Linked DNA regions of Tamandua tetradactyla. The protein of the gene in region 3 interacts with the protein of the main gene of each other region in a pairwise test. Links are inferred from orthologs where the notes say so. Each region holds a gene or a part of one and is shown on either strand. Other genes may lie near its edges.

Region 1 (8,257 bases), on a different chromosome or scaffold from region 3:
AAGATGTCAATTCTACCTAAATTGATATATAGATTCAATGCAATACCAATTAAAATCCCAAAAAGTTACTTTTCAGAAATAGAAAAACCAATAACCAAATTTATCTGGAAAGGCAGGGTGCTCTGAATAGCTAAAAATATACTGAGAAAGAAAAATGAAGTCAGAAGTCTCATACTACCTGACTTTTAAGGCGTATTATGAAACTACAGTGGTCAAAACAGCATGGTACTGGCATAAAGATAGATATACTGACCAACGGAATAGAATAGAGTGTTCAGATAAAGACCCTTTCACCTATGGACAATTGTTTTGGTTTTTTTTTTTACATGGGCAGGCACCAGGAATCCAACCTGGTCTCCAGCATGGCAGGCGAGAACTCTGCAAGCTGAGCCACCGTAGCACACCCTGGTCAACTGATCTTTGATAAGGCAGTCAAGCCAACTCACCTGGGACAGAACAGTCTCTTCAATAAATGGTGCTTGGAGAACTGGATATCCACACGTAAAAGAATGAAAGAAGATCCATATCTCACACCCTATACAAAAATTAACTCACAATGGATCAAAGACTTAAACATTAGATCTAAGACCATAAAAATTTTTAGAAGAAAATGTAGGGAGATATCTTATAAACCTTTTAATAGGAGGTGGTTTTCTAGATCTTACACCCAAAGCACGAGCATTGAAGAAAGACATAGATAAATGGGAACTCCTCAAAATTAAACACTTTTGTGCATCAAAAAACTATGTCAAGAAAGTAAAAAGACAGCCTACACAATGGGAGATAATATTTGGAAATGATATATCAAATAAGGGTCTAGTATCCAGAATATATACAGAGATTGTTTAACTCAACAACAAAAACACAATAACCCAATTATAAAATGGGCAAAAGACATGAACAGACACTTCTCAAAAGGGGAAATACGAACGGCTAAAAAGCACATGAAAAGATGCTCAACTTCCCTGGCTATCAGGGAAATGCAAATCAAAACCACAATGAGATATTATCTCACACCCACTAGAATGGCCATTATCAAAAAAAAACAGAAATGACAAGTGCTGGAGAGGATGTGGAGAAAGAGGTACACTTATTCACGATTGGTAGGAATGTCAAATAGTACAACTGCTGTGAAGACAGTGTGGTGGTTCCTCAGGAAGCTAAGTACAGAGTTGCCATATGATCCAACAATACCATTGCTAGGTATCTACTCAGAGGACATGAGGGCAAGAACACAAACGGATATTTGCACACCAATGTTTATAGCAGCATTATTTACAGTTGCCAAGAGATGGAAACAGCCCAAATGTCCATCAACAGACAAGTGGCTAAATAAGCTGTGATATACAAATACGATGGAATATTATGCAGCTGTAAGACAGAATAAAGTCATGAAGCATGTAACAACATGGATAGACCTTGAGGACATTATGCTGAGTGAGATTAGCCAGAATCAAAAGGACAAATACTGTATGGTCTCACTGATTTGAACTAACATTAATGAATGAACTTGGAGAATTTGAGTTAACAGAGGCTATCAGGAGATAGAAATAGGGTCGATTTTGGGTAATTGGAGCTGAAGGGATACAGACTGTGCAACAGGACTGACTGTAAAAATTCAGAAATGGACAGCACAATACTACCTAATTGTAGTACAATAATGTTAGAACACCTAATGAAGCTGAATGTGAGAATGATAGAAGGAGGAGACCTGGGGCACAAATGAAACCAGAAAGAAAGATAGAAGATCGATTTGAATAGTGAATAAAGAAGTATTTGCAAAGTCCCCTTGGGGGAATGGCAAGAAAGGGGGAAAATTCAACTTCCCCATTTGGAGAATTCTCAATATTCTTGCAAGTAGTGGGGACAACCAAACCAAGAGGCCAAGCCCCACCCCCCCACCCCAATCTTGGGGTTTGTTCATATGAAACATATCCCTGCAAAGGATAGACTAAGTCTACTTAAAACTAGGCCTAAGAGTCACCCCCAGAGAACCTCTTTTGTTGCTCAGATGTGGCCTCTCTTTCAGCCAACATTTCAAGCAAACTCACGGCCCTTCCCCTCTCTACATGGGACATGACTCCCGGGGTGTAAACTTCCCTGGCAACATGGGACAGAAATCCTATAATGAGCTGGGACTCAGCATCAAGGGGCTGAGAAAACCTTCTTGGCTGAAAGGGGGAAGAGAGAAACGAGACAAAATAAAGTGTCAGTGGCTGAGAGATTTCAAACAGAGTCAAGAGGTTATCCTGGAGGTTATTCTTACGCATTTTATAGATATCCCCTTTTGAGTTTAAGGTGTATTAGAGAGGCTAAAGGCAAGTGCCTCTTGATCTAACGATGCTCTAACTAAAATTTCAATATAATACATTGAAAAGATGGAGAATGGGAGAGTATATATGTGTGGTCAGGGAGGAAGGATGGAAGAAAAAGAGCCCAAATCAATAAATACTGAAAACTGAAAACTCAAGAAAGTTACAAAACAAGCATGTTATTCAGAGAAAAAGGTGGTAGATACTGTCAATCAGTTTCAAGAGAAAAAAGTAGTTGCCTCTCCTCTGGGGGGGGGGGGAGGATGGAAAATCGGTGGTGGTGGGAACCACTGTTTATAAAACTATCTGACTCTTTAAACTTTGTGCATGTATAACATTTTTTATGTTATAAAAAATAAGACAAGGCCCTTATTCTGGAGGAAGTCACAGAAAACAGGACTAACAGAAGTTAGTTCAAAGCACTATCAGAACTTAGGTTACTCAGCCTGGAGAAGTGAAATCTATACAGTAATACCTGACATATTCTGCTTACTGTGTGTCAGAATCAGAAAATCGAACAAAGTTAAGTGGATCAGAAGAGGATTTACTGACTACCAGACCTACTGAGTCAATAATGCATCATCACTGAGCAAACTGAGGGGACACAATAATTTGAGTAAGTCATGGTCTCTGACCCTAAGAATCTCAGAATGTGGAGGTGGAGGATGACATATACAAAGGTAACTGCAATCCAGGGCGGGGGGAGGGGGCGGTGAGTACAATCTACAATCAATCCTTATTCCAGTACGGATAGGTAAACAAAGTCATTTTAGGGTCCAGGCTCCATCCCTATTCTACTCCCTGGGGGATTAAATCCCCGTCCAGAACTGGCCCCTGACTCCTTTACTACTGAAGCCAACTCACCGACTCAGCCGCTGCCTCCTGCTGGTCCACTGCCAGGGCCCAGGAGTCGGTGGCCATAGTCCCAGGGGCGGGTGGGACCCCTGCCCTGGCGGACTCGCAGGATGGCACGGCGCGATCGTGGGTTCCGGGGGATCCTGGTAAGTCAGGCTTCAACCCCGTAGCAGGGGAAGTCATTCGCCAAGGGGCTGGGAACAGGAAGCAGCGCTTTGCGGTGACGTCAAGGTCCGCGCCGGTTAGGCAGTCTCTCGCCCCTTCAGGGCTGTCGATTGTGTCCCCTCCAGGCCGGCACTCTTTTCCCTTGCGCAGCTCAAGCTTTCCTATCAAAAGTCCAGAACCGCGGCCTGAAATAGCTATCTAAAAGTTCCCAAGCTCCCAAGCTTTGGATAGAAACGACTGGTTGTCTATCCAAAGAATAAAACCATATTCCGGCCCAGCACAGTGGCATAGAAGATACTCAGAGAAACTGAATGTAGTAAAACAGAAAACAACCATTGCAGACAGCCACCAAAATGCATGCTGAAACAAGTAGATATTATTTCCACTTTTCAGGCGGGTAATTTAAAAGGTCCTTGTGTTGACCAGAATTATTAGGAATCAGTTCTCTCAAATACCACTTGGTAAGTATTTGTCCCACAATGTGGCAACACCACTTATAGGAATTTAATCTTTAAAAATACTCCAGGAAGGTGCAAGGGAAAAAATGGCCCGGAAGAGGATAAGACATAACAAAGAGTGGTGGATTTGTAGAACTGCACAGACACTAGGGAGGACAGAGGGCAGGGGAGGCGGGCATTGACCAGAGAAAGGGATGAAGAGGCAGGTATGAGGTGGAAGAAAAGGTAGGGCACCTTAACAGGCAAAGGAGTGAGCTGTGCCTAGGTTAGAATCCCTATTCTCCTACTTAAGGGCTGTGTGACTGAGGGAATTTTTTAAAAGAAGTAATTCGAGTTTTTTTTTTTAATATTATGTTATTTATTTACCGTTTTGAATGTTCTTTTTTTTATTGACAAACCAAAACAACATACAAAAACAAACATCCTTAACATACAAACATTCCATATATGGTGTACAATCAGTGGCTCAAAATATCATCACATAGTAGTTTGTTCATCACCATGATCATTTTTTTTTAATTTACTTTATTTTATTTTTTTAAATACCGAAAAACACAATACAAATGCAAATATTCCTATATTTTGATCATTCTGTTCTACATATACAATCAGTAATTCACAATATTATCACATAGTTGCATATTCATCATCATGATCATTTCTTAGAACATTTGCATCTATTCAGAGAAAGAAATAAAACGAAAACAGAAAAAAAAATTTATACATACCATACCCCTTACCCCTCCCTTTCATTGATCACTAGCATTTCAAACTAAATTTTTTTTATTTGTAATCCCATCATCACATCTAATATGGATTATAAATATCTGGTTTCTTTTTTGAAAATTTATTTATTAATTAAAAAAATAAAGAAACAACATACATAATCAGTAAATCACAATATCATCACTTAGTTGCATATTCATCATTTCTTAGAACATTTGCATTAATTCAGAAAAAGAAATAAAAAGACAATAGAAAAAGAAATAAAATGAACACAGGAAAGAAAAAAAAAAAGATTGTACCTACCATACCCCTTACCCCTTGCTTTCATTGATCACTAGCATTTAAACTAAATTTATTTTAGCATTTGTTCTCCCTATTATTTATTTTTATTCCGTATGTTCTACTCATCTGTTGACAAGGTAGATAAAAGGAGCGTCAGACACAAGGTTTTCACAATCACACAGTCACATTGTGAAAGCTGTATCATTATTCAGTCATCATCAAGAAACATGGCTACTGGAACACAGCTCTACATTTTCAGGCAGTTCCCTCCAGCTGCTCCATTACATCTTGAATAACAAGATGACATCTACTTGATGCATAAGAATAACCTCCAGGATAACCTCTCGACTCTGTTTGGAATCTCTCAGCCACTGACACTTTGTCTCATTTCACTCATCCCCCTTTTGGGGGTGAGAAGGGTTTTTCTCAATCCCTTGATGCTGTCTCAGCTCATTCTAGGATTTCTGTCCCACGTTGCCAGGAAGGTCCACACCTCTGGGAGTCATGTCCCACGTAGAGAGGGGGAGGGTGGTGAGTTTGCTTGTTGTGTTGGCTGGAGAGAGAGGCCACATCTGAGCAACAAAAGAGGCTCTCTTGGGGGTGACTCTTAGGCCTAATTTTAAGTAGGCTTGACCTATCCTTTGCAGAGTTAAGTTTCATATGAACAAACCCCAAGACTGGGGGCTCAGCCTATAGCTTTGGTTGTCCACACTACTTGTGATAACATGAGTTTTTAGAAGAGGTAGAAGGATTGAGCGACCCTTGCCGTGGAAGCCCAGGGGCAGAGCCATTCCCTGAGTGTCTGTGACACTCTAAAGCACGCAGCTGCTTGCACGGCCTGGGTCTGTTAATGTTTCAGCTAACCTCTTTACAAAGGAAGAATGTGCAGTTGATCAATGTACTCAAGAACCCAGCCCCCTCTCTGTGTAAAATGTTAATTTGTACCTTACCCTCCCTTCTGATAATCATGTTTCCCTATAATCTTTTTCACTGAGTCCTCTCTGCTGTCTTTGTCTTGGGCCCCTATAACTGGTCCTGCTAATTCCCACTTAATTGTGAAACACTTTCACCTTGAGCTCTATACCGGCTGCTGGTATAGAAGAGCTTGATTTCCAGACTGACTTCTTTCTTTCACTCCTGTAATTAAATTACTATAATAAAGTTCATGTCCCATTCCATGCCTAGTGCTTTCCAGTCAATTGGCTAGAAAGGCCCCTGCAGGCCAGGACACCTGCTTTTCCCTAACTGAAATCAAACAAGCTTCTTTCTCCTTATTACTTCACTAGAAAGAACCCGGGCACGTTACTGTAACATGAGAAAATCAATCCCAGCTTTTCTCACTTCGCCAATATTCCACTATAAGTCAATTTCAAATTAATAGTGGGGCTCTATGTGGAATTTACCTGTAGGGTTTGAGTAAAAACGTCTTGAGGAAAGGTAAAGCAGTTCCAGAGAATACTCTACTTGCCATAATTGCTTTTTTCTCCTGCATCATTTAGGGGGGGTAATCTGGGGAAGTGTTTTTTTTTGGACTCTGCAGGCGAGGATGTACAAAAAATGGCAGACAGCCTGGGAACCATCACCTACATCTTATCCTATCACAACTCAGAAGCAACCCGTGGGAATACTTTGCCAGAGAAATGACACTGCTTCACAGGACTAAAGGAAGTTAAGGAATTTTCAAAAAAAGTTTAATGAGGTTTAAAATTAAATCATCAACGGGCAAGACTATATATAGTAGGCCCTATCTGTGCAGAAAACAAGAAAAACTCACATATGCTGGCATATAAAATAGACAATGCATAGATAAACACACACAAAATGATAACTGGCTGCTTTGGTGGGAGGCTCTAAAAGACAGATGGGAGAAGACTTCCTTTCCCTAGTGTACACTTCATCCTCAATTTTTTTTTCACGTGCATGTTTTCCTTTTAAAATTAAAAGTATTCCAGATCAACAAGAAAGGGAATGATAAACATGTAGGTTCCCATGACAGGACTTAAGAAAGTAAACTAAGAGTCAACTGAAGCCCCCTCTATACACATCATAAGATATAACAACTATCCTGAATTTGGTGCTTATTCTCTTGCTTGCCTTTTCCATGTGTTCTTTTTCTCTACTAAACAAACAACAATACATAGAACAAGCATCAAGATTCTAGATTCTCCTACGTCCATCCCGAACATACCGGCACAACATGAGTCTCCTGCTGAGAAAGAACCTGGTTTCCAAAGTGGGGTGTGGAGTGAGTGGTGCGAGGGGAATTACGATCATCTAGATTTGATTCAGCCTCCTGCACTTACTTCCATGTGACCTCGCGCAGCCTCAGTTTCCTATGAACACGCAGTTATGTACCCACCTCCAGAGCTCAAAGATTCAGCGACACCACACAGTTAAGGCTTTTGGCCCAGCGCCAGGCATATGGCAAAAGTTCAATAAATATTAGTTAGCTATTATTATTATTTCTGCCCTCACCCAAAAGTTGGGGTCGAGGAGGATGCCTAAGTCTGAAAAAAAAAAAAAAAAAAGCTTTCTGCCCTCAGGGATACTCACATCGCCCACGGGCAGAGGAAGTGCAAACCCTCCCAGGGCCCAGCCTCTCACGTGGCCAGCAGCACCCGCCATCGCTATGGCGGTTACACTCCAACACCACTGGCCACACTGTCTGGGCTCGAACCTCATTGGCTGAGGCCTGCAAGCCTGACCTGCCAGCCAATCAGCTGAGGGAACAGTACAGCCTTTGAACAAGCGCGCTTGGGTACCTTGGGGCAAAAGACTGGCCCCAGCTGGCGTCTTTGCGTAACTTTGTCATCTTTTGAAAATGTTTGGCTTGCACACTAGATTCGGGGCTTTGTGACCGCCGGGCAGCATCGCCTTTCCTTAATTTTGATTCTCAGGGACCAACGCTTAATAGATATTTATTGGTGAATAATTATTGGTGAATAAAATGAAGAATTCACACACACATACACCCTGAGTGGACCAAATTTATAAATATTTACATATGAACACATAGGCTCATCCTTGAGTACTCCCTAGCTATTGTTAAATGATTCCCCCCCCCCTCCTGGCAGGACATCAAGCATAGCTATCACCTGGGAGCCCATTAGTAATACAGACTCTTCGTCCCTACCCCACCCACATTCACTAAATCAGAATCTGCATTTTAAGATTTCCAGGTGATCCCTAAGGCACCTTACAGTTTAAAAAGCACCATTGTAGATGACAAATGATAATGGTATGCTCAGTGAAGGCTTCCTTTGGAGGCTCCCAAAGCAACTATTCACCCACCTCCATTTGACCTGTTAGCGAACGAAAAAATAAATATCCTAAGCCCATTTTACAGATGCTAAAAGTAGCTTAGGTGTCATGGGAGAGTTGGTATCTAGGACCAGATCTTTTTTATTTCTTTTTTTAACTTTTTAAATTGTATAATATAACATATATACAAAGTATAGA
Region 2 (8,502 bases), on a different chromosome or scaffold from region 3:
TAAAAACATCACTTAAAATATCTCCAACAGCCTAAATAAAAAGAGAGGGTGGGTTAAATGTAATGATAGGGAGAAAAAGTATGACTATAGTCTCAAACCTCTGCTTCTCTCCCTATTAATGCTCTTTCTACAACATCTAGCCTTCATTAAATAAGTATCTATTATATCCTTTCAATGCCACAAACACTCAGTCTTCCTACATACAGTGAAGAATGATACCACCTAAATATCTCAAACAAGCTTTTATCTTTTTAGCCCTGAAACCCACACCCTTAATTAAAAGCAACACTTAAATAAATTAGTTTTCTTTCTTATCAACCACCTACATATAAATTAGTCAAAAGCTTGTTACCCTGAAAGTATTGATAAACTAAGTTCCTGATTTGAGAATCTTCCAAAAATGTAAACAAAATGGTTTTTCATCTACTCTTGGCCACTTCGTCAATACAAACTAAGCAGAACACTTAAACAGAATAATAATTCATATGTCTGCAAACAAGCCTCCAATGTCATGAGAATTATTTTCCTATACTGAAAGTGTTGGTAAGAATAATTGTGTGAACAAACAAACTCACTGTCTTCGTGGGACATGACTCCCAGAGGTGTGGACCTTCCTGGCAATGTGAGACAGAAATCCTAGAATGAGCTGGGACTCAGCATCTAGGAATTGAGAAAACTTTCTCAACTGAAAGGGGGAAGAGTGAAATGAGACAAAATAAAGTGTCAATGGCTGAGAGATTCCAAACAGATTCGAGAAGTTATCCTGGAGATTATTATTATTATGCATTATATAAATATCACCTTTTTGTTAAGGTGTAATGGAGAGGCTGGAGGGAACTGCTTGAAAATGTAGAGCTGTGTTCCAGCAGCCATGTTTCTTAAAGATGATCGTACAATGATATAGCTTTTGCAATGTGACTGTGATCGTAAAAATTGTGTGTCTGATGCTCCTTTTATCTACCTTATCAACAAACAAGTAAAACATATGGATTAAAAATAAATAAACAACAGGGGGAACAAATGTTAAAACAAATTTAGCAGAATGAAATGCTAGTGATCAATGAAAGGGAGGGGAAAGGTGTATGCTGTATATGAATTTTTTTCTGTTTTCTTTTTATTTTTCTGAATTGATGCAAATGTTCTAAGAAATGATCATGATGATGAATACACAACTATGTGATGATATTGTGAGTTACTGATTATATATGTAGAATGGAATGATCATATGGTAAGAATGTTTGTGTTTGTATGTTGCTATGTTAATAAAAAATAATAGCAATAATAATTCGTGATATTATAAAGGTTGTGCGGAATACCCAAATGAAGCCCTAGGCCCCAAGCTCTGCTCCCCACAAGAGCCTAGTTGACATAATTCATTATCCTTAAGAGCATCACTAATGTTCACTGAGGGCTTACTGTACTTTGTTAAATATGTTGCCTCCTCCAATCCCCCTCCCTGCAACCTGAGCTTGCTCTTGGCCTTTAGGAAAAGGAGGTCCACCCTCATACAGCAGAGTACTGATCTGATCTCTTAAGAAACCAGTTTTTAAAGATCAAAATCAGATTAACATACCTCCTTGGGGACAGATGCCTTTTCTCTCAAGCCAATGGGAAAGTTGGCACACACAAGACAAGGCATCTTTTAAAAGAACTTACCCATCAGCTAATCCTCATACTGCGGCTATCTGTATTATATCTATATATTGATCTATAGGGATCAATAGAAGCATATTACTCTTGCAACGTCTGAAAATGTGATTAAGACAGTCTGAAGCCCCATTCCAAACAAGCTGATTAGTCTTTGAGAAGTCTGACTGATGAAAAAGAACACTGTAACCGAATCTAACATATCGCAATCTGTATAATGTGTTAACAAAAGGCAACATGCTCAACAGCTGGAGAAAGAGATCCTAAGGGCAACAACTTGTCAGCATTTACTCAGCCATATTCAAGGAGGAATGTGCTGGCAGTCAAGTCCTCCTGTTTTGAGAGAGGTAACTTCAGCATGGGGAAGAGGCAGGCCAATCAGCACCCTATTTTTCTACACTCTGGATTCACCCTTTGCAGCAACCTTCTCATCATTAATCTAGTCTTTCACAAAAGGCAGTGTCTCTGACACTAGACACAGGTTTTCAGTCATGATAAAGGTATTTTCCCCCAACATAAGTAATAAAATAACTCCTGCCTGGGTGGCTAGCATTATGCGAGTTCCCAAGGCCCTGATTCACTGAAAGGTGACCTTGCAGACACTAAAAGGGACTTCATGGAGGACCTCAGGATCTCTATGACAGCTCTAATTTCAAAAAGGTCACAGGTTATATCTCTAAAGATTCTTAGGGTTTCTTTTTTTTTTTTTAATTTGCTAGTCTTGGAAAGAAAAGAAACTTAATTGGTGACATAGCCAGAGGAAGTAAAGGAAACATTGTGTCTGAAAATATGTCAGGGACAAATGAACTGGCATCAATCAGGTCCTTTCTATTTTTACTACTTCAATTCATATTTTTATTATCTTTCATTGGGACTCCCCAAATTGCATCCAACCCAGATTCCCAGATACATTATTCTCTCTCTCTTTCTTCCCTCCAGATCTATTTTTATATGCCAGAAAAGACTCTGAAAGTACAACTTTGACCACATAAGCTTGGAAACTTTCAAAGAGTAAACAGTACATGGAAATAAATGTTACTATAAACAACATCAATGAAAAAAATTGAAGTGCCTCCCAACCCCACCAACATCTACAGTAGGTTGAAACATATTTCTTCTGCGAAGAGCTACAAGCTGCCAATCATATTAGACCCAGTCATGGATCCAAGACATGCTAAAATATGAATTACCTAGGACACTGAAAACAGTTGCTTAATAGATAAAGAGAATCCGCGTTATATTTGCCTTTGCTTAAAACCGACCCTGAAAATACAGGTGCAATACAGGAAAGACAGGATACGTGGCAGGGAGAGATCTGCCACAAGATAAAATTATAATTGGCCCAAATGAAAATAAAAAATGGGATACTGGCCTCTTTAGTTTTAGACGCAAATAAGATTTAATCTCAGGGCGCATGTCCACAGGCCTACTCGCCCCGGGAGCACTTTCCCCCTGGGCTCGAACCTGGGTCCGCCTAAGCCGCTACTATATTCTCACCACCCTTTTGAGTTAAAGCAACTAACCGACTTGACTGCCGCTTCCTGTTCGTCCACAGCTAGGGCCCACGAGTCGGTGGCCATGGTCCTAAGGGCGGAAGGCAAACACGAGGGAATACACAAGGACCACACGTCAGCACCAGCCCTAAACCATCCGCGGGCCAGAAAACGTCTCTCACGCGGACCGGAAGCAGCAGCGCGATAAAGTGACGTCAGGCCCGAGAAGCCGCCATTCCCCGCCCGCGGCTAATCTCCGCCCTCCCTCCTCGCTTGAGAAACTCGTCATTTCCGCCGGATTTAGCGAGGCGCTTCCTCGTTGTACCTTGAAGTCCTATATCTCTGCTGAGTAAAACTCTTCTCTCACTTCTCTCTGAAGTTTTAGTTGTAAAACTACCACGTTTCATAGTAAATGTAGAGTCTCTGAACTGTGATGAAATTATCTAGAGGAAGCCCTGGGACCACTTCAGAGCTAAAAAATAAAAAAAAAACCAAACCATAAAAACCATGCCCTACAAAAGAATAAAACAAAACAAAAACCCAAAACCATGCCCTACTTACTCTTTGACCTCCTTCTTCAGTTTCCTTTTGATATCTTTTGAAACTTGAATCCCCACTAAGGGGACCCAGATAGCGATTCAAGCATCTAGTCTTTATATTTTACCCAATACAAAATAATGTCCACCTGCCCCAAACTGGTCCATATATACTTGAAAAGCCCCTGTCCAATCAATAAGAGTCAAGCTAACTTCCGTTTTGTATCTATAAAAAGGCCAAGAAGCTCCCAGCTGTTTTCACTTTTGCAGGTGAACTGACTGACTTGTTGCTGTAAAACTTTGGATGTCTAAAATAAAATGCTATAATCTGCACGCTCAATTCTGATTTGTGTTTTGACAACTGTAAAGCTTTATACAAAGGAAAGCTACATGAAACAGAATACCATATGATGCTAGTTTCTACTCTTAGAAGTGATAACACATAAGAAAAAATGGAAAACACACACACACCACTTCATCCCCACAATCCCATCATTTCTATAAACACACGAACAGCATTTTTTTCCTTCTGGGTTCTTCCAGTTTTTGTCCATATGCAACATAGCAGGGGTATTTTACACAGTCCCCCAAAAAGTATACATACAATTTTAAATTTAACATTATAAGACTACGTGGTTTCTCATGTCATTATTAACCATTTAGTTGCTTCTGATAAATATTTTTGTCTCTCCTTGAAAGCATATGAAGTCTTCAAAAAGAGCAAAGATCTCATCTGTCTTGGTCACTGCTAATTAGTAAACCCGGGAAAGTGCCTGGCACATACAATATTTATCCTTTTGAGTCAATAAATATTAATTTATTATTATATTAGCTTTTTATATAGCAATAAATAGCTTTTTATTTAAGATGTATTACTCCAGAATAAGTTTCTATACAGTGGAAGAATGTGTCAAAATAAATGCATAACTTGAACACACTTCAAAAATGAGAATATGTCAATAAGTACATGAAAAGGTGTTAAAACCATTAGTTATTGGGGAAAAGTAAACCAAAGTCGCAGTGAGATACCACTACACACCACTAGAATAGCTAAAATTAAATATTTACATGCCAGGTGTTGAGAAGCAGGTGGAGCAACTGGAACTCTCATAAACTTCTAGAGGGAGTGTAAAATAGCACAAGTTTTGTAGAACTGTGTGGCAATTTCTCAAGATGTTAAACATGTACCTACTGTATGACCCATCAATTTTATTCCAAGAGAAATGAAAAGATATGTCCACAAAGAGACCTGTACACAAATGTTTGTAACAACTTTAGTCATAATAACCCAAAACTGAAAACAACCCAAAATGTCCATCAACAGGAGAATGGATAAACAAATTGAAGTATATTTGTCCGATGGAATACTACTCAGCAATAAAAAAGAACTACTGATAACACATGATGAAACAGATGAATTTTACAGACATTATGCTACAGATAACAGACATGAGATAAATTCTGTCTAATTTTATTTATATGAGGTTCAAGAATGAGTAAAACAAAATCTATAGTAATTTCAGAACACTGGTTGCCTCTGGATGGGGTTAAGGTTGTGTTTTGGGTTGCTAAAGCTGGTGGACTGCAATACACCAGAAATGGAATGGCTTTTATAAAGGAAATTTATTACATTATGAGTTTATAGTGCTAAGGCCATAAAAATGTCCAAACTAAGGCATCCCGGAAAAGACACCTTGACTCAAGCTAGGTCGATGTCTGTCACACAGGAAAGCACATGGCTGGCATCTGCTGATTTCTTGTTTCTGCTCTGTTGCTTCCAGCTTCTGATCCCAGAGGTCTCCTCTCTAAGTGTTTATGGGCCTTCAAGTAGCTCCTCTGGGACATAACTCTGTGTTCTGGCTTGCTTAGCAACTCATGAGAAGGTACATGGCGATGTCTGCTGGGCTCTGCCCATGTCTAGGTGTCTGCTCTCTCTATTGGTGCTCCAAGCATCTCCAAACATCTGTGTTACTGTCAGTTCTGAATCAAGTGTTCTCCAAGCATCTGCAACTGAGGTTTCTTCAAAATGTTTCCCCTTTTAAAGGATTCTAGTAAATTAATCAAAACCCACCTTGAATGGGTGGAGTCACATATCCATCTCATCAAAAGGCCACACCCACAACTACATGTGTCACATCTCCATGGAAACAATTCAGAGTTTCCCACCCTAAGCAATAGGTCTGGCTCCACAAGATTGGATCAGGATTCAAACATGACTTTTCTGGGGTACATAACAGTTTCAAACCAGCACAGGTGGATAGGACATAAGGGAACTTCCTGGGAAGATGGAAATGTTTTATATCTTGAATTGGGGTCCTGGTTTCATATAACATTTGTCAAAATACGTTATCGGTTTTAACAGTATTAACTGTATCTTTAACATGTCGCTTTATAGTATGTAAATTATACCTCTCAATGAAGTTGATTAAAAAGCAAAAGAGGAATGAACTACTGCTACACTCAACAACATGGATGAGTGATTCGCAATCTCAAAGACATTAGGTTTGAGTGAAAGAATACAGACACAAAAAGAGTACACAGTGCATGACTCCATTTGTAAAAGTTCAAAATAGGTATTTCTAATCTATAGCAACAGAAATCAGAACGATGGTTGCCAGGGCATGGGCTGAAGTGGGTAGGATTGATTTTGAAAAGGAGCACAAGTGAACTTTCTGGAGTGACGAAAATGTTCAAACCTTGATTGGGGTGGTTGTTACTCAGGTGATGCAATGATCAAAACTCATGGAATTGTACACCTAATATCTGTGTATTGTGCTTAATATAATGTATATGTCAATTAAAAATAAGACAATTGCTTTAGTTTCCTGGCTGCTAAAAGAAATACCATACAATCAGTTGGCTCAAAATCAGAAATCTGACTCATGATGTCAGAAGCTAGAAGGCTTGTTTCCTCTCGGGTTCGATATCTTCTGGCTGGCCGACAATCGCTGGAGTTGTTGGCTATACTGTCACATAGACACACATGTGGCAGTGTATTCTTTCTCTTCAGGGTTCTGTTAACTTCCAGCTTCCGGCTGCTCCCTGTGGCTTCTCTTTTTTTTTTTTTTTTCTCGTTGACCTTCAAATTTTATTGTCACTAGATTGTATTTGTTGAAGGGAAGGGATCCTGAATGAATGAATGGATCTATGATATTTTGTTCATCTCTCAAACAAAATTGGGAAAAAGGTTCACATTGTTATTCCATCCAGGATCTGTATCTGATTCAGAGGAAGCCAACCACTGCTGCTGGGGGATGCTATCCTCCAGGACAATGGCAGGATATGGGCATGGAGGGAACCATGGTGGGTTCGGGGTCCAGTGTGCCCAACCTGGCATCTTCTGGTTCTTCTTGGGGCCTGAGGATTGTGCAGGTTTGGAGTTTGAACACGGAAGGTGGAACACTGGCCATGTTCTCATGGGGACCACCTGTGGGCTTCTTTGGTTTCTGAGTGTCTTCCTTCTTTACTTCCTGGGAGTTTCTAGTTGTTTCAGGTTGAAGGTTTGGTTCCTCCATTTTGACCTCTGTGTTTCCTCTGGAGACGTTTTTCTCTTCAGCCATAGGGTCTAATCCAGGGTGTGCAGAGCAGGCCCTTATTCCTGTGCTGTGGGGATTCAGGTAAGAATGGAGGCCCCAAGTATGGAAATAAGTCCTCTTCTTACTGCTGCCTGGAATGCTGTGGCTTCTCTTTTTACGTCCAATTTCATTTGTTTATAGTGATTTCAGCCATATTGGATCAAGGCCCACCTTCATTCAGTTTGGGCATACCTTAACCAATAACATCTTCAAAGGTCCAATCTACAATGGCTTCACATTCTAGGCCCAAGGTTGGGATCTGACTGACCTTTTGTGGTGGACATGATTTAATCCCCAACAACAATGTAATGAAAAACAAAACCAAAGCTTAAAAAAAGTACAGGTGGTAATAAATTCATTTGTACTGTGAAAAAAAAAGAGGGGAGGGGGTAAGAACGTTTTCTCAGCTCCTAACAACTCATCAAAACAGAGGACCTGCATATATAGACACACACGCACAGCTGCTGAAGGATATCAAATGATATCTTGTCTTTGCATATGACAAGTCTAATTCCTAGCATCCTCACCACCAATATGCTACTGCCTTAAGATTACATACTTATCAGGACACAGTGCCATGTTCTCACTCTACATCAGACAACAATCCTGTGGAGATGGCTAATTGGCTTCCTGGGTAGAATGATGGTCCTCTGGTCCTTATTAGCTGTATTAGTTAGGGTTCTCTAGAGAAACAGAATCAACAGGGAACACTTGCAAATATAAAATTTATGAAAGTGTCTCACATGACCGTAGGAATGCAGAGTCCACGTGACCGTAGGAATGCAGAGTCCAAAATCCACAGGGCAGGCTGCAAAGCCGATGACTCCAATGGATGGCCTGGATGAACTCCACAGGAGAGGCTCACCAGCCAAAGCAGGAATGCAACCTGTCTCCTCTGAGTCCTCCTTAAAAGGCTTCCCATGATTGGATTTAGCATCACTAATTGCAGAAGACACTTCCCTTTGGCTGATTACAAATGGAATCAGCTGTGGATGTAGCTGACGTGATCATGACCTAATCCTATGAAATGTCCTCATTGCAACAGACAGGCCAGCGCTTGCCCAATCAGATGAACAGGTACCACAACTTGGCCAAGTTGACACCTGTCCCTAACCATGACATCAGCCTAATCATCCCTTTTCAAAAAAAACTAAATTTCTGAGGCACCTCTCACCTTTTCTTGTCTCAAACACCTACATCCCAAAGCTTCTCATCAAAAGCAAAAGCAGCAACACCAGAATCTCTCACAAC
Region 3 (7,465 bases):
TTATCCCTGGGAGTCATGTCCCATGATGCCAGGGAGACTTTCAACCCTGGATGTCATGCCCCACGTAGAGGGGAGAGTCATGATTTTCCTCGTAGGGTTGGACTTGGAGAGAGAAAGGCCACATGTGAGCATATGTGGTCTCCTTTTATGAAGCCTTTCCTCAAGTGTCTGATCATTGGTGCAATCCCAGAAAGCAGCAAGGGAGATTTGGGTGTATGGGCAGGCTCAGTGTCCAGTGGCCTTTCCTTAGGGGCCATCCCTTTCATGGTGCCCCTTGGGGCTGAATCCTTCAGTTAGACTGCAGCATTCTGGGAGCCAGGTGGGGGCGAAGGGTCAGGGTTTCTCCCTGTTGAGTTGCAGACCTGCCTTCAGTCACCCATCTTCAGTGAGGTCCTCACCACACCCTCAGCTAGGTGAAGCCAGAGCCCTTGTGGTCTATTTCAAATAATATATGCTTAATAGAAAGGTACAAAGATAACCAAATGCCCTGTGATCTTCTTGCGTAGATTTTGCCTATTGATGGTTAAGACAGGTTAAATATGTACATGTGGCAAAAATTTCAAACATAAAATGGTTTATAGTAAATCTCTTCCTTCCCTGCACATTTATCTGTGCAGAGATAATCAGCTATTCTTCATTTCCTGTGTATCCACTGAGGATAATCCCAGTGTCCACAAGCAGCCATGTCTGTAGATCTCTCTGCTTCCTCTACATACAATGTGCCCACTCTTCTGCATCTTGCTGATGTCATTAAACTATGTTTTGGGGATTATTTTATATCAGTCACGTAGGTCACTTCATCCTGTTTTAGCAGTTACCTCATGTTCAAGTGGGTGCACACTTGAACATAAAATGATAGGTTACATAAAATGATAGTTTATGTAACCTATCATTCAAAGATGGAGATGGCCTCTTTGTCTTCCACAGGCTGCTGCATGACTATCTTTGGATACGTCCTTTTGTGCACATGTGGGTCTCTCAGTCATGTAAATTCCTAGAAAGGGAGTTGCTGGAAAACCCTGTCCTTTAAATTTTTGTCCATTGTTTTCTTTCACTGTCCCCTTGGTCGAGTTTTTGGAGTTGGGGAAGCACATGTGATGGGTTGTGTTCTAGGGCTGAAGCTGCTGCCCTAGCTCACACTGCCTGTGTTTGTCTGTCCAGGTGTATAAAACCCTCCGAGACGCCGTGGTGACGATGTACAGGACTGAGGGCGCCTTGGTCTTCTACAAAGGCTTGAATCCCACCTTGATCGCCATCTTCCCCTACGCAGGGTTCCAGTTCTCATTTTACAGCTCTTTGAAGCATGCATACGAGTGGGCCATGCCAGCTGAAGGAAAGAAAAATGGTGAGACCTTCCTCAGGTGAAAGGGAATCTGTGTCTCCATTCCATCTCCACCCACAAGCTATAAAATCTCTTTCAGACTCACATAGGAAATACATTTTTCTTGTCAGGAGAAAACCACTGAAACACCACTCTTGTCAGGAGAAACACCACTGTTCTCTGTACCTGGCTTTGTAATGCAGCCAGTAAAACATACGAGCCCAGTGACCTGCAGGTGCCTTTTTTCTTATAGCTCTTGCCATATCCATCTTGGCCTCACCAGCATTCAGTTCCTAGGATTGGTCATGGTTTTCCTTTTGTAAGAGGTCCAATTTACAAATTGCCTGGATTTGTTTTTGTTTTTGTTTTAATTTGAGCAGATGGGGCAGGGCATGGGGGTCCTGTTCCCTCTCAAGTCTTAAACTTGTACCACCTTGCTGAGCATACAGGCCATTCCTTGCCTCTAGCTGGGGAGATTACTATGCAAAGGCTTACATCCTCCTGCCACCAGCCAGTCCGGTCTGCAGTCCCTTAGCATTCTTGCCAAAGGTGGTTATGTCGCGTTCACTCTTTTCTGGGTTAAACTCCTCTAATATCAAAGGGTGCTTGCTCAGGGGGTTTTGTTTATGGTACAGGATTAGACAGACCTGATGACCTTTAAGCTGTCTTCCAGAGATTACATTTCATTCCATTTTCCCCTCACTTCCACTTCTTTGGTTCAGGGAACCTCAAAAACCTGCTTTGTGGCAGTGGAGCTGGAGTTATCAGCAAGACCCTGACGTACCCTCTGGACCTCTTCAAGAAACGGCTGCAGGTCAGGGGCTTTGAGCAGGCCAGAGCTACCTTTGGCCAGGTGAGCCATCCCCCTGCAGACAACTCTGACCCTTGCTCCTCACTGGCCACAAGAAGGAGCCAAGGTCAACTCCTGCCTGGTTGTACAGTGTTAGCCACCATGGCCCTTTTACCTCCAGCCTGTCCTCAGGGACCCCCGAGCCCAGGGGAAAGCCACATGCAGAGCCCCATCTGATACGGTACTGTGGGAAGATCCAGGGGAAGAAAGATTCACAATCTCTGCCTTTAAAAAGTGTCTAGTCCAGTTTACAATATAGAATACACTCACCTAAGAAGGGTCCCCCAAATATTAAAGTGCTTGAAGAAACTCACACTAGTACATGGGGTGCCTTCCTTTATGCTGTAGGTGTTCTTTTATGCTGAAAAGGGGAAAATTAAATTTGAGCAACTAAATTATATTTCAGATACACGAAAAGGCTTTGCCATTTAGAGAAACCCTGGGTAGGTACATTTTGTAATGTTAATAGTCATGTCCTGCTCAGTGTGTTCATATTATCCTGTTCTGATTTTGTGAAAGACCACAGTGATGATCTGTGCCAGGTGGAGGAGGCAGCAGGGGTGGAAGTTAACCATGGGGGCATGAAAATACAGGCTGCCAGATGCCAGAGGAGGACAGCGTGAAATGAGAGGCAGGGAAGGGACAGTGCACTTCACTTGGGAAAGAGAAGAATTTGGGTTTATAATTGTGTTTAGGTTTTCACAGAAATAATATTTTCTTTGTAGAAAAATTTAGAAAGCTCAAATAAAAGGAAAGATAAAATCACCTATAACCTAACCACCACCCAGAGATAATCACACAGGACTTTTTGGTGTAGTAATTTTTTTATTTGCATAGATAAACACGTGTATGTTTTAACAGAAAGTGGGATTATACTGCATACAAGGTTTTGTAATCTTTTTACATTTACCAACTTGTCCTGAAAAGACAGTTTGAATTTGGACAGGGAAGAGGGTTAGAGAGAGAGAGGCCCCCACCTACTGGAGATAGTAAGAACAGACTTGGCTGGAGGTAGGCAGGGTCAGGACCAGGGGGAGGTGAAAGAGTAAGGTTGAGGTCAAATGGTAGAAGTCCTTGATGCTTTATGATGTCCTCATAGTTGTCAGGAGTTACTGAGGGTTTTGGGCCGGAGGGAGGCACAAAATGGGGCTCTACTTGGGGGCCACAGGACTGGCAAGCTCACTATGGAGTCAGCTGCCAGAGGTGAGACTGCAGCAGGGTGGGCAATATGGAAGGGGCAGCCCTGGCCAGGCTAAGGGGTAAAGAGGACCAGATTCAGACTTGTTGCCCAAGTGAGGCCAAGATGCCTCTAGGATGTGGGTCCGGAGCTATGGGCCTGTCCTCACCTGTCCCCATAAGAAGGAGCTCTGTCCAGGTGCTGATTCCCAGGCACTACACCAGTAAGTCTGGGTTACTCCACTGGATTACTCTCTTTACTTTTGCATTCATTCTTTCATCCAGCAAATATTTATTGAGAACTATGATGCACCAGCGGCTGTGTTGGCAGAATAATAGAGCTGGCTGTCCATACTTTAGTTGCCTCCTTGTCCTCAACCAGAGTGACCCTTCTCTCTCCAGGTACGGAGCTACTCGGGCCTCCTGGATTGTGCCACGCAGGTGCTGCGAGAGGAAGGTGCCCAGGGCTTCTTCAAGGGCCTTTCCCCCAGCCTTCTGAAGGCTGCTTTCTCCACAGGCCTGGTGTTCTTCTGGTATGAGCTCTTCTGTAACTTATTCCACTATCTGAAGAAGGCAGACAGCTAGCTTCGAGGGCAGGAAGGGCAACCTCCTGAAAGAAGGAAGACTTGGTCTCCAACCTGGTATCACACTGAGAGGTGCTGCCCGGCACCCCCTGCCAGCCTGGGGAATGAAGAGCCTTTAGGAGCAGGATGCAGCCTTAGTCCCCCCTGCTGGGACACCACCAGGACAGGGGCTTGCTGGGAGAAGGCAGGAATTGGTGTGTGGGCCGCAGTGATATAAAGCGCAGAAGAAGGTTGATGTTGTCATTTCTCCTCTTTTTAACCCACATTTGAAAGGAAATGGATACCATCCTATACTTCTTAGCCGCCTCTGCCAGGAGAACTCTCCTGGGTCTGAAAGGGGCTACAGTTCAAATACAGAGGAGGGGGGTTTAGGCTTTTTGCAGGGGTGTGTCCCCATACTTGGGCAGTTATTCCCACCAGTTTAATATACATTAAAGTTTAAGGCACATGCCTTATATTCCCCTCCATCTGTCCTGACAGATCACATGCCACATCCCTCTTCACAGAGTATTAGGGAAAGGATCTATAGCTCTGCTTCTAGTTCTGGGAGAAGAATCCACATTCGTCTCCTAGGTCTGCCTTAACAAATCATTACAATCTGAGGGACTTAAAACAACAGAAATTTATTCTCTCAGTCCTGGAGGCCAGAAACCTGAAATCAAGGTGTAGGCAGGGCTGGGCTCCCTCCAAAGGCTCTATGGAACAATACTTCGTTGCCGCCTCCAGCTTCTGGTATTTTCTGGCTGCCCCTGGCATTCTTTAGTCTGTTGCTGTGGCACTCGGGTTTCTGCTTCTGCCTGTACAGGAGCTTCTCCTCTGTGTGTCTTTGTGTGTCCTCTCCTTATATGGTCACCAGTCATCCCAGCCTGACTTCATTTTTTCTTTGCAGGTGACTATACCTGCAAAGACCCTGTTTTCAAATGAGGCCACAGTCTACAGTCCTAGGTGGATGTGAATTAGGGGGGGATTCTATTCAACCCATTCCACCCCCGCACTCCTGGATCCCTGTGTCTGGGGCCAGGACTGGTCATAGGCATGGGCCTTGGTGGGTTTTCAAGGGAAGCAGATAGCAGTGGCCTGGGAGGAAGTGGAAGGGGTGTGCCAGCATCCACACCCTCAAGGGGAACTCCATAGGGAGCCTGCTGGGTCTGCAGGGTGAGCTCTGAAGGTGGGAGCCAGGATGGGGAGCAGAGCTGATTTCCGCCTAGGACTTTGACCTGAGCCCTGGAGCCCTGGGTTGGGAACCTCTCCTTGCTCAGCTTTACTCTGGCAGCTACACTGCCTTGGAGTCGAGACTCCTGCTGGGAGCAGGCCTGGGGGTGGGTGTCGGGGCCTTTGACCCCATGGATGCAAGACCCCTTCTTTCACTGTTGTCCCTGTGCTGTCGTGCCTGGTCTGAGTCTGTGGTATGTCTGGTATCCTGAATGCTGAAGCTTCTGCTGCTCTTGGCTCCTGATTCTGGGGACCCAGGCTGCTGCTCAAGGCCCTTCTCATGACATGGGGCAGCAGGCAAACAGGCCTAGGTCATGGGTTGTAGGGAGGCAGGGACTTGAATGTATTTTTTTAAATGAAATTATAGGCAGTTGATTGAAGTAAAGTTTATTCTCATCTCTCCTGCTCCTTGGCTTTTTTGCTGCAGCTGAGATTTTGCAGCCGCATCCATTTCTCAGTGACCGCTTGGCCTTTTTAGACCATGAGAAACTGCCATCAGCACATCTGGTCTAAACTGATGGGAAAAGGAAGCAATTGTTTTCCACCCTTCAGGGTGCTCCTTGTGCAATCCACGGCAGACCTCAGGCTGCAGCCTTACTGAGGTCAGCCGGCCTCTCTTAGTCCTGGCCAAGGACAGCCCCTTTTAAACTTATTTTGTTTATTTTGTAGAAGAAGGGAATAATGGGATTCGATCCAGCCCTGCCAACTCCCGGCCTTCTCTACTTTGGGGGTGGGAGTGGGGCAATGTGGCTATCCCCTGTGAGGTCCCTGCCCATCCAGCCATCTCTGCCAAGCCTTTCGCAGGCTCCTCCTCCGCCATGCAGACTGGGCCTCAGACCTGATTAACCTGAGCCTTTGGAGTGGAGGGGAGAGGTGACCGGAGTGCCACTGAGGGCTTCACGCACACCAACGAGCCTGTCCAACCCGACGCCGACGAGCGGCGGGGTGAGAGGACAGGGCAGGGTGACCTCATCCTGGGGCAGGGTCGTTGTCCCGGATGTCCCGCGTGACAACCGGCTAGGCCCCACGCAAGGGGATCCTGCCCTCTGGCCTGGTGAGGTTGCGAGAGCGGGGCTCCGGCAGGTGGCGCTGGCGAGGCGGCCTCTGGCCCCGCCCCCGGGCCGGCGGCGCCGAGCTAGGAAATGACCTAAGCGGCGGCTCCCACGGCGCCGCGGACGCGGGGCGCGCGCACCCTGCCCACCGGGCAGTCCCCGGGCACGCGAAAGCTGCGCGGCCCCGGCAGGTGGGTCCCGGCCCTGTGCCGCCAGAAAAGGGCGTTTCGAGGCCCGGGAAGCCGCCGAGGTCTGGAGAGCCCTGAGGCGCGCCTCCTTTGGCCTCAGGGGAGGTGGCCACCAAGTCCAGCAGGGGATCCCAACGCGGGTTGTCTCTCGGGGACATAGCATCCCGGGCCCCCCCTTTAAGGGGCAGGACACAGGGTGGAGCTCAGGGAGTAGGAGTCCTGGGTGGAGGGTCCGGACGCTGCCACTCGGGAGGCCACTGCAGCCCGTGGGTCCCCGGGGAGAAGCGGGCCAGAGAAGGAGAGCTCAGGCGCTGGACGGTCGGGGGCGGCCGGGAAGGCTCTCTTGCATCCAGCCGTGCGGGCCGGCGACCCGAGGGGACTGCGGAGGACCCAGACTAAAGCCCCCAACCCCATCTCTTGCTGGGCCAGCAGCTTCCAGTCCCATTTATCCAGGCTGGACAAGTCTCGGATACACTCCTAGCTCCCCGCAGCCCTGAACCTCCCTTGGTATCACCTGGGAATAACCCTGCGTCCTGCCAGGACTGGAGGAGAGATGCCAGTCACCCTTCATCGCCATACTCTGTTGTAATCTCAGAAGCTTGCGGTTTCCTAAGATGAGCAGCAGGTGCCTGGCTGGTGCCCGACCCGGCAGGACGCCACTGAATGCCAGGGAGAGCTCAGTTGCATCAGCCTGAAGTCTGGCCAGCCCCACCCAAGTCCTGCTGGTTTGGGAGCTTTGCTCTCTCCCTTTGCTGCTCCTCTCTCCCAGGTGCTGTCGTTAGTCCCTCCCCAGTCAGGAGCTGCTGGGGTTGGATGGTCATGGGGGAACCCAGTAAAGAGGAGTATAAAATCCAGTCCTTTGATGCAGAGACCCAGCAGCTGCTGAAGACAGCACTCAAAGGTGAGCATGGTGAGCTCCTCCTGAGAAGGCGCTGGGGTAAAGTCAGGTCAGGACCAGGGCCCTGAGCCTAGGAGTGCAGCCTCTGTTTAGGGACCAGGGGAATGCTAGCCCTCTCGCTCTTCTTCCTCCTGTGAACCCATCAGCAACCAAACTTGTAATCTGAACAGCGTGCTACATTTAA
Region 4 (7,582 bases), on a different chromosome or scaffold from region 3:
CAGGTCTCCAGCATGGCAGGTGAGAACTCTGCCACGGAGCCACCGTGGACTGCCCCGCCATGTTTAACTTCTTGAGAAACTGCCAAAGCATTTTCCACAGCTGCTGCACCATTTAGCATTCCCACCAACAATACAGGAGAGCTCCTATCTCTCCAGTTCTCACCAGCACTTGTTATTTTCCTTAAAAAACAACAACAACAACAAAAAAAAAAAACCAGCCTTCCTAGGGGGTGAAACGTATCATAACAGTTTTGGATTGTTTTTTAATGAAATAACTACTCAGGGCACCGTTGAAACTCCCTTTATATGCCTGCCAGGCCCCTGTCTGGCACTTTTTCAGACGCAAACAGTCTCAAGACATTTAGGGTGTCTCCTGGTCCTTGTCCTTTGACAGCTACTACATCTGCATGACCATGGCTGAGTATTATCTGTGTCTTTAAAAAATGCACAAATGATATTCTGCTGTACATATGCTCACCTTGCTTTTCTCCCTCAACCATGTTTGGAGTTTTCAAAGAAATGCAAACGACAGAAAAGCACAGCGGATCACACTACAACCTCAATGGTCCTTATCTGTTTCCACACTTCATTGCACGAGGAAGGCCCCTTTAACCACCCTATCATCCACTACAAGTGCTTATTGTCACGCAGATGTGTTCACACTCACGTTTCTGCCATCTCTGACCAAGAGCAGAAAACTTAAACAGTTTCATACAACCCTCGATTGGGCATCGACTGCCCCAGTCATGGTTCTGGGGCTGGGTGTGTGGCAATGAAAACAGACCAGAACTGCCGTCCTGGGCTCCCGAGCTGAGCAAATGTATGCAGTGGTGGCTGAGCGTGATACGTGCTACAAACAAGGAGGAGAAAATAGCGATGTTCTGTTCCAGATTCTCTTACTTGAGTGCACAGGTCTTATGTATGCAGCTGAAACATTTTTAGTTTTGCTTGTGTATTCACTCATGTAACCACCGTCCAGATTAAAACAGAAAATTCCCATCACCCCGGAAGGTTGCCAGCAGCTCCTCCAAAAATCACCCTGAACACCCCTTCCCCCATGTAATAGCGGTGCTAATATCTGTTATTATAGATTGATTTTGCCTGTTTCAGAACTCCACATAAGTGGAATCATTCCGTATATATTCTTTACTATTGTAACATGCATCCATGCAATCGTATGAAACAGTGGATTGTCCCTTTTTATAGCTGTATAGTATTCCACTGTAAGGATGGACCACTATTCATCTTGGCTGCTCCATCTATCAATTGCTGGATGTTTGAATTGTTTCTAGATTTTTGGCCATTGTAAATAAAGCTGCTAGGAATACTCCACGCATACTCTACATCTACATCGTGGCTTTTTATGGCCGCATCTTCCCATTTCTTAAGGAGAATTCCTCCAAGTGGAGTTCCATATTGTGATGTTAAGTTCTGGGGTCAATTTGGCCAAATGATGATTCCCAGCTGTCTGGTCAGGCGAGCACTGGCCTGGCCGTTGCTACAAGGATATTTCAGGGCTGGCTGCTAAACCAGAAGGCTGGTGTATTAAATCTTCCGTCAGTTGATTGAGTGTGTGGCTGATTATATCTGCGTTCAACTAAGGCCTGTCTCCCACCAGTGGGATAATCCAACCAGTTGAAGGCTCTTAAGAAAGAAGAGAGACTTTTTTCACTGCTTCTTCATCCAGTGAACCTCTCCTAATGGGAGTCCATCCAGACCCTTCATCAGAGCCGCCCGCTTCACAGCCTGCCTTGCGGATTTCAGACTCTTCCATTCCCACGGTTTCCTGAGAGACCTTTATAAATCCCATATTTACAGATATCTCCCATTGGTTCTGTTTCTCTAGAGAACCCTAGCTAATACACACGTCATTTGTCAGTTTTAGATAATCCCCTTTAAACTGCTGCAGGGTAGGCAGGGATGGCTCAGCACATGTTTTTTTTTTCATCTCCCTATTGATGGCTTCTTGGGGTTGGTTTTGTTGTCCAGAGCTGGACCCCTGGCAGGCTCCTGACGTAGGCACTCAGGAAAGTATACTCGAGAAGGGTTGGAGGAGAGGGGGCAGTTTTTGCCCCTCCACCGTTGGACTCGAGCTTTTCCCCACTGCTCTACACTGCCTTAGGCCCCCTTTTCTGTTTTCCCTCATAAGTATCTGACTTTTTGTAAAACATAATACATGCTCGATGTTGAAGAAAAAATATTCCACCCAGAAAGATTCCAAAAAAGGAGTAAAGACGAGATCAAATCAAAATACTCTCAAACACCAATATTTGGGTTTTAACGTCTTTCTCGGCAGCTCTGTTCATCCACAAATGTGCACAATTTTTCCTCCCAGGACAGTAACGGGTGGATGAGCCAACATTGAACTAATCTGCTGTTAATGATGGTTGGGTTGTTTGCAATTTTCTGGTCCTTTAAACCCTATTGTGCTGAACGCTGTTTTACACGAAACTTAAGACACCCGAATACGAATCTGTTAGGCCAGTCGTAGAAGTGGGAATGCAAGCTAGTGGATACACAAAAGAAATTAAAAATACACGTACGTGTTGCAGCTCATACAAATTACATAATACATAAAACATATAAAATGAATATTCTTGTATTTATGTATATAATTTTTAAATCAAAATAATGCAAACATGGAAAAAATTTAAAGTATAGCAGAAAAGTCCCCAAAAAAGTTTTCTGCCCCCGACGCATTTCTCCAAAGGCATCCTTTGGCAAGTTTCAGATATTTTCTTCCAGAAAATGGTTAGCATATAGCTGCATATCTATGTTCCAAGATTAACACAAATCAGATCATACATGCATTCTCCCCTGCCCTCATCCCTTATCCTGATGGTTGTTTTACATGAGTACAGATCATTCTACCCGTTAAAGACTGCACAGCATTTCACAGCTTTGTGGCTTAACACAAAGCTGATCTATTTAACCAGTCCTATTGGTGGCATTTCCTGTGTTTATCATGCACAGCACTGCACAGGCATCTTGTTCGCACATCTTGGCACACATTTAGAAGTTCACACATGGCTTCAATTATTAGCTGACTCAAAGGAAAATTCATGCATACATTTTAAGTTTTGAAAAGTGTTGCCAAACTCCCCTCTGAAGAGTTTGCATCATATCACCCCACCAACAATATGTGTGACCGTCTGTTTCTCAATCTTAACCACCACTGGGTAAAATCAAATTTTAAAAGTTTTGCCCACCTGTTAGGTTCTTTGGATTTTGCTTTTCTCAGGGGTAAATTTGAATAAGTTTGTACAAATAGCTACCGGCCCTTTGGACAAACCTTCTATCTTCTTCCATGTTGCCAGACTACCGTCCTGAAAGCCTGTGCTGATGGACCCCTCTTTCTTTGACTCTCTCACCCAAGTTCTTTTCTGGTCTCCTACTAATGTATTCCTTTCCTCCCCAACCCTTAACCTTCCAGAATAATATTTCTCACAGTAAAACCTGGTCCCGTCGGGCCTACCTGTTCAAAATGCTTCAGTGCCTTTGCCCACACCCCACAGCCCAAACAACGAGTCCAAACTAGTTAGTCTGGTTTAAAAAGTCCTTTGTGATCTGGCTCTCACCCCTCCCGAAAATGCCCATGAACTGGGCACTTCCTATGTAGACACATCTTATGGGTGCTGGGGACCCAGACGAGCACCTAGCAGCAAATGCCTGCTTTCCGTAGCTGACCTTCTGGAGCAGTGTTTCTCAGCTTTTTCCATCTCACTTCTAAGGAGAAAAAGTAACAAATTGAAGCTTTAAATCAATGAATTCGGTTTCAATTTCAACGACATTTAATTCCTCCCGCATGCAAGAAATCAAATCCTTCGGAATAAGAGTTTGTGCCACAGAGTTGGCTTGGGAGGGCCACAGACCATTGTCATATGTCAGGTTTTTTCCACCCTCTCCAAGAACCAATTTTCACCCCCTGCCCACTGAGGGGGCAGGGTCTAGAGGCAGAGATGGACCATCTCTAAGCCTCGGTGTCTTCAGCAGCAAGATGGAAATGATCACTTCCTCCTCAAGGTGCCCCTCACACGGCTCAATAAATGGGCTTTGGTACTATTAACATTTCTAATTTTATTAAAGTTAAAGTACATTTTATTAAAATTACTTAAAGATACAGGGGATGCGCAGCGTCCACAGTCGGCGCCTCCGCCTCCATCCGCAGGGGGCGCTGTAGGCGCCGTGGCCTGGCGCTCTAGGCGGCGGCGGAACCGGAAGTCTCGCTCTCCCCCACCTCCGCTCTCTGGCCCAGGCTCGGGCTGCGTGGGGAGAAGTTTGTGCGATGCCGACCGGAGATTTTGAGTGAGTCGGGGTCGCGGAGGGGGTCCCGGGAGGCGGTTGGGCGCTTCAGAGGAGTATTGCGGGGGGCCGGGCCTCGTTGATCCATCCTTCCGCTCCGCACACTTTGTCTCGGCAGTTCGAAGCCCAGCTGGGCCGACCAGGTCGAGGAGGAAGGAGAGGACGGTGAGAACCCCCAGTCGACCAGGGGCCCCGCGGCCTCCCCCGGCCCTGTCACAGCCTCTGGCTCCGGCCCCGCACCCTGCACCTCGCTCTAAGCCCGCATCTCCCATTACGGCCGGCTTTTGCCCAAGAGTCCTGGCAGCTGCTGCCCTGCTCGGGACAAGAGGCTGTAGTAGCCAGTTTCCTGCTTCTCTGCGAGCAATGAGTGGGGGAGGTGGGGATCTTCACGCCGCGGCGCTGAGGCTCGTCTTCCCTTGTCCCTGTCCCCACATTGCTCCCCAGGGAGTGTCTTAGCCAGCCCTCTGCCCGTGGTCCTGCCTTTCTCTGCTCCTGCTGTGGGCGTCGTTCCAAAGGTCCCTCCACTTCAGCTTGGGGACTCCAGCCCCTCCCCAGCTGACCTTCCCTCCCCACGCTCCCTCTTGCAGACAAATGTGTCACCAGCGAGCTCCTCAAGGGGATCCCGCTGACTCCCGGTGACACCAGCCCAGAACCTGAGCTCCTGCCAGGAGGTGAGTGCCCCTCCAGCACCTTTCCCATCCGGTCTGCGTTATCTAGGCAGGGTTCAGCTCTCCTCACCTTTTCCTCCTCTTTCTCAGCTCCACTGCCACCTCCCAAAGAGGTCATCACTGGAAACATCAAGACAGTGACCGAATACAAGATAGATGAGGATGGCAAGAAGTTCAAGGTGAGGCTGGCAGGAAGGGGTGGTACCCTTTTCCTTACAGCCCTCGGACCAGGAGCTGGGATGGGGCTGGTGGGAGAACTCTGACCCCAGGAGGGGCACAGGAAGCCTGACCCTCTCCCATTTGCAGATTGTCCGCACCTTCAGGATCGAGACCCGGAAGGCCTCAAAGGCTGTTGCAAGGAGGAAGGTGAGACACTCCTGCCCCCATCATTTGGGTTCCACAGGGACCGGAGTCCTTTTTTTTTTTTTCCCCCTCAGTGTTTGTTTCCAGAGGTGGGGTTTGCCTGTTTGTACCCATTTTGTTGAAGCAGAACAGAGGCCTAGGCATGTTTGCATCCTGTTGGGGCTTTGGAGAGTCCAGTGCACGAGTGGGTGGCGTTAGGTTTTTATTCCTCACGTCTTGTCTAATGGGAACAGAGCCAAACCCTCCTTGGAGGTAGTTTTGTGGCTCCCATTTACCCGGGGCCGAGTGCTCCAGGAAGAAGCAATGGTAGTAAATACCCTTGGCACAGTTTGCTGAGCAATTTCTCTGTACCAGATCCCGAGTCGTGTCCTTGCAGGGAGCGTTTTCTCATTTGATCCCCAAAGCAACTGTTTGTGGTTTCCCTTTTTTGGGGGGGTGGGGTGGGGGCAGGGCACACAGTCTGGGAATTGAATCCTGGTCTCCGGCATGGAAGGTAAGCATTCTACCACTGAACCACCCGTGCTCTCTGTAGTTCCCATTTTACAGGGAAGGATGCTAAGGCTCGGGGTAAGCAGCCCAAGGCCTTCACAGCCTGGGTGACCCTGTAGACCCCTACTTAGAACCACCCCTGAGCCTCGCTGCCTCCCTGATGGGGGCCAGGTTTGAGGACCACCACCCTATGTGGGCATGAGGCGTTGTCGGCTGTGCACCTCTTGACCTCTTGGCCCCTTGAGCCTCTGTTTTCTCATCTGGGACACAGACTTGAGAACTGCCCCAGCCCCCTGGAGCTGGTGGAGAGGCAGGGCTGGGGGCTCACTTGGGAAATGAGGACTGTCACTGTTACTGGGGAGTGGGGGGCATTCAGGGAGAGCAAGAACAGGGTTGAAGGCCCGACACCCCTGGGGCTGGCTGTGGGAGGTCTGAGGTGCCAGTGTGGGCCCCCACAGACCTGGTCCTGACCCCACTCCCACCCCGTCCTGCCCTGAGCTCAGAACTGGAAGAAGTTTGGGAACTCCGAGTTTGACCCCCCGGGGCCCAATGTGGCCACCACCACGGTGAGCGACGATGTCTCCATGACGTTCATCACCAGCAAAGAGGTACGTGGGAGGGGGTGCCAGGATGGGGCGGTGCCCAGGGTGGGGCGGGGAGGACACCGGCAGTGGGGCTATGGCCGTGCCCCTGAGCTTCCCTGCCCGCCCCTGCCAGGACCTGAACTGCCAGGAGGAGGAAGACCCGATGAACAAGCTCAAGGGCCAGAAGATCGTGTCCTGCCGCATATGCAAGGGCGACCACTGGACCACCCGCTGCCCCTACAAGGACACGCTGGGGCCCATGCAGAAGGAGCTGGCTGAACAGCTGGGCTTGTCCACGGGCGAGAAGGAGAAGCTGCCCGGAGGTGCCGGGCTTGGGGGTGCGGCTGGTGGGAGGGTGCCGTGTGGCATGTGGTGGGGCGGTGGGGGGAGTCCGGGTCTGGGAGCAGGGGGCACCTCCTCCTTGGCTGTCCTCTCCCCCGTGCCGCGTCAGCACTGCCAGGTTCCGGCTGCCATCCGTGTGTGTGCTGGGTGAGGGGCATGCTGGGCCTGCAGTGTCATGTCTCTCCCGTCAGGGGGGTCGGGAGCGGGGGTCGAGTGTGCTCCTGCACGCATGCGTGCTGCACTGTTGTCCTTGTGTGCGTGGGGTCTCATGGCTGTGATTCTGCTGGTGAATGGCGGCGTGAGTCTGTCTGCTACTGGCTGCAGCTCCCTCCCACCCCGCCGCCCATCCGCGGCCATGCACACGTGTGCACTCACATGTGCCTTCCAGTGTGGCTGTGCACGACTTGCTGAAGGGGATTCTGTGTCTGACTTGTGTGGGAGATGGACTTGTCCCTTGCCGTGTGAGGGCTGGGTGTCGTCCGTCCACTACCTGTGTGCATGTGTGCTTGCACCTGCTGTCCTCGTGGGCTTGTCCTCAGCTCTCAGCCCCTGTGGAGTTTTGCTCCACCAGTGCTCCCAGCTGGTTCGTACGTGCAAGGCGTCTACTGTCTGGATGGGACCCTGGTGTTGGCGCGGCCAGTGCAGCTCAGGGCCTTAGAAGGACCAACTGACCACCTGGGCCAGGGCCACCAGCCTCCTGTTCTGAGCCCTGTGCCTTTGGTCCCCAGAGCTGGAGCCTGTGCAGGCTGCCCAGAGCAAGACAGGGAAGTACGTGCCACCGAGCCTGCGGGACGGGGCCAGCCGCCGCGGGGAGTCCATGCAGCCCAACCGCAG

The links.
Region 1: the proteins of MIF4GD (region 3) and ATP-dependent RNA helicase DDX19B interact in binary tests that used the Homo sapiens proteins (3 or more experiments, as listed by UniProt). The link is inferred for Tamandua tetradactyla from reciprocal best matches to the Homo sapiens genes MIF4GD and DDX19B.
Region 2: the proteins of MIF4GD (region 3) and ATP-dependent RNA helicase DDX19A interact in binary tests that used the Homo sapiens proteins (3 or more experiments, as listed by UniProt). The two-hybrid records come from large-scale screens. The link is inferred for Tamandua tetradactyla from reciprocal best matches to the Homo sapiens genes MIF4GD and DDX19A.
Region 4: the proteins of MIF4GD (region 3) and EIF3G interact in binary tests that used the Homo sapiens proteins (3 or more experiments, as listed by UniProt). The link is inferred for Tamandua tetradactyla from reciprocal best matches to the Homo sapiens genes MIF4GD and EIF3G.

Annotation. Positions count from the first base shown.
Region 1 is NC_135342.1:68,643,197-68,651,453, forward strand, and holds the start of ATP-dependent RNA helicase DDX19B, read right to left. Parts: upstream 3,391-8,257; 5' UTR 3,351-3,390; coding exon 3,177-3,350; intron 487-3,176; exon of another isoform or gene 447-486; intron 1-446. UniProt on the Homo sapiens protein: ATP-dependent RNA helicase involved in mRNA export from the nucleus.
Region 2 is NC_135342.1:68,590,556-68,599,057, forward strand, and holds the start of ATP-dependent RNA helicase DDX19A, read right to left. Parts: upstream 3,347-8,502; 5' UTR 3,228-3,346; coding exon 3,171-3,227; intron 1-3,170. UniProt on the Homo sapiens protein: ATP-dependent RNA helicase involved in mRNA export from the nucleus.
Region 3 is NC_135332.1:15,678,791-15,686,255, reverse strand, and holds the start of MIF4GD (MIF4G domain-containing protein), read left to right. Parts: upstream 1-4,278; 5' UTR 4,279-6,088; intron 6,089-6,275; exon of another isoform or gene 6,276-6,386; intron 6,387-6,393; exon of another isoform or gene 6,394-6,978; 5' UTR 6,979-7,046; coding exon 7,047-7,284; intron 7,285-7,465. Other genes in the region: SLC25A19 (mitochondrial thiamine pyrophosphate carrier), read left to right, coding at 1,162-1,345, 2,044-2,174, 3,750-3,932. UniProt on the Homo sapiens protein: Functions in replication-dependent translation of histone mRNAs which differ from other eukaryotic mRNAs in that they do not end with a poly-A tail but a stem-loop. May participate in circularizing those mRNAs specifically enhancing their translation.
Region 4 is NC_135337.1:91,611,227-91,618,808, forward strand, and holds the start of EIF3G (eukaryotic translation initiation factor 3 subunit G), read left to right. Parts: upstream 1-4,215; 5' UTR 4,216-4,285; coding exon 4,286-4,305; intron 4,306-4,420; coding exon 4,421-4,467; intron 4,468-4,889; coding exon 4,890-4,973; intron 4,974-5,060; coding exon 5,061-5,149; intron 5,150-5,276; coding exon 5,277-5,336; intron 5,337-6,325; coding exon 6,326-6,430; intron 6,431-6,539; coding exon 6,540-6,729; intron 6,730-7,476; coding exon 7,477-7,582. UniProt on the Homo sapiens protein: RNA-binding component of the eukaryotic translation initiation factor 3 (eIF-3) complex, which is required for several steps in the initiation of protein synthesis.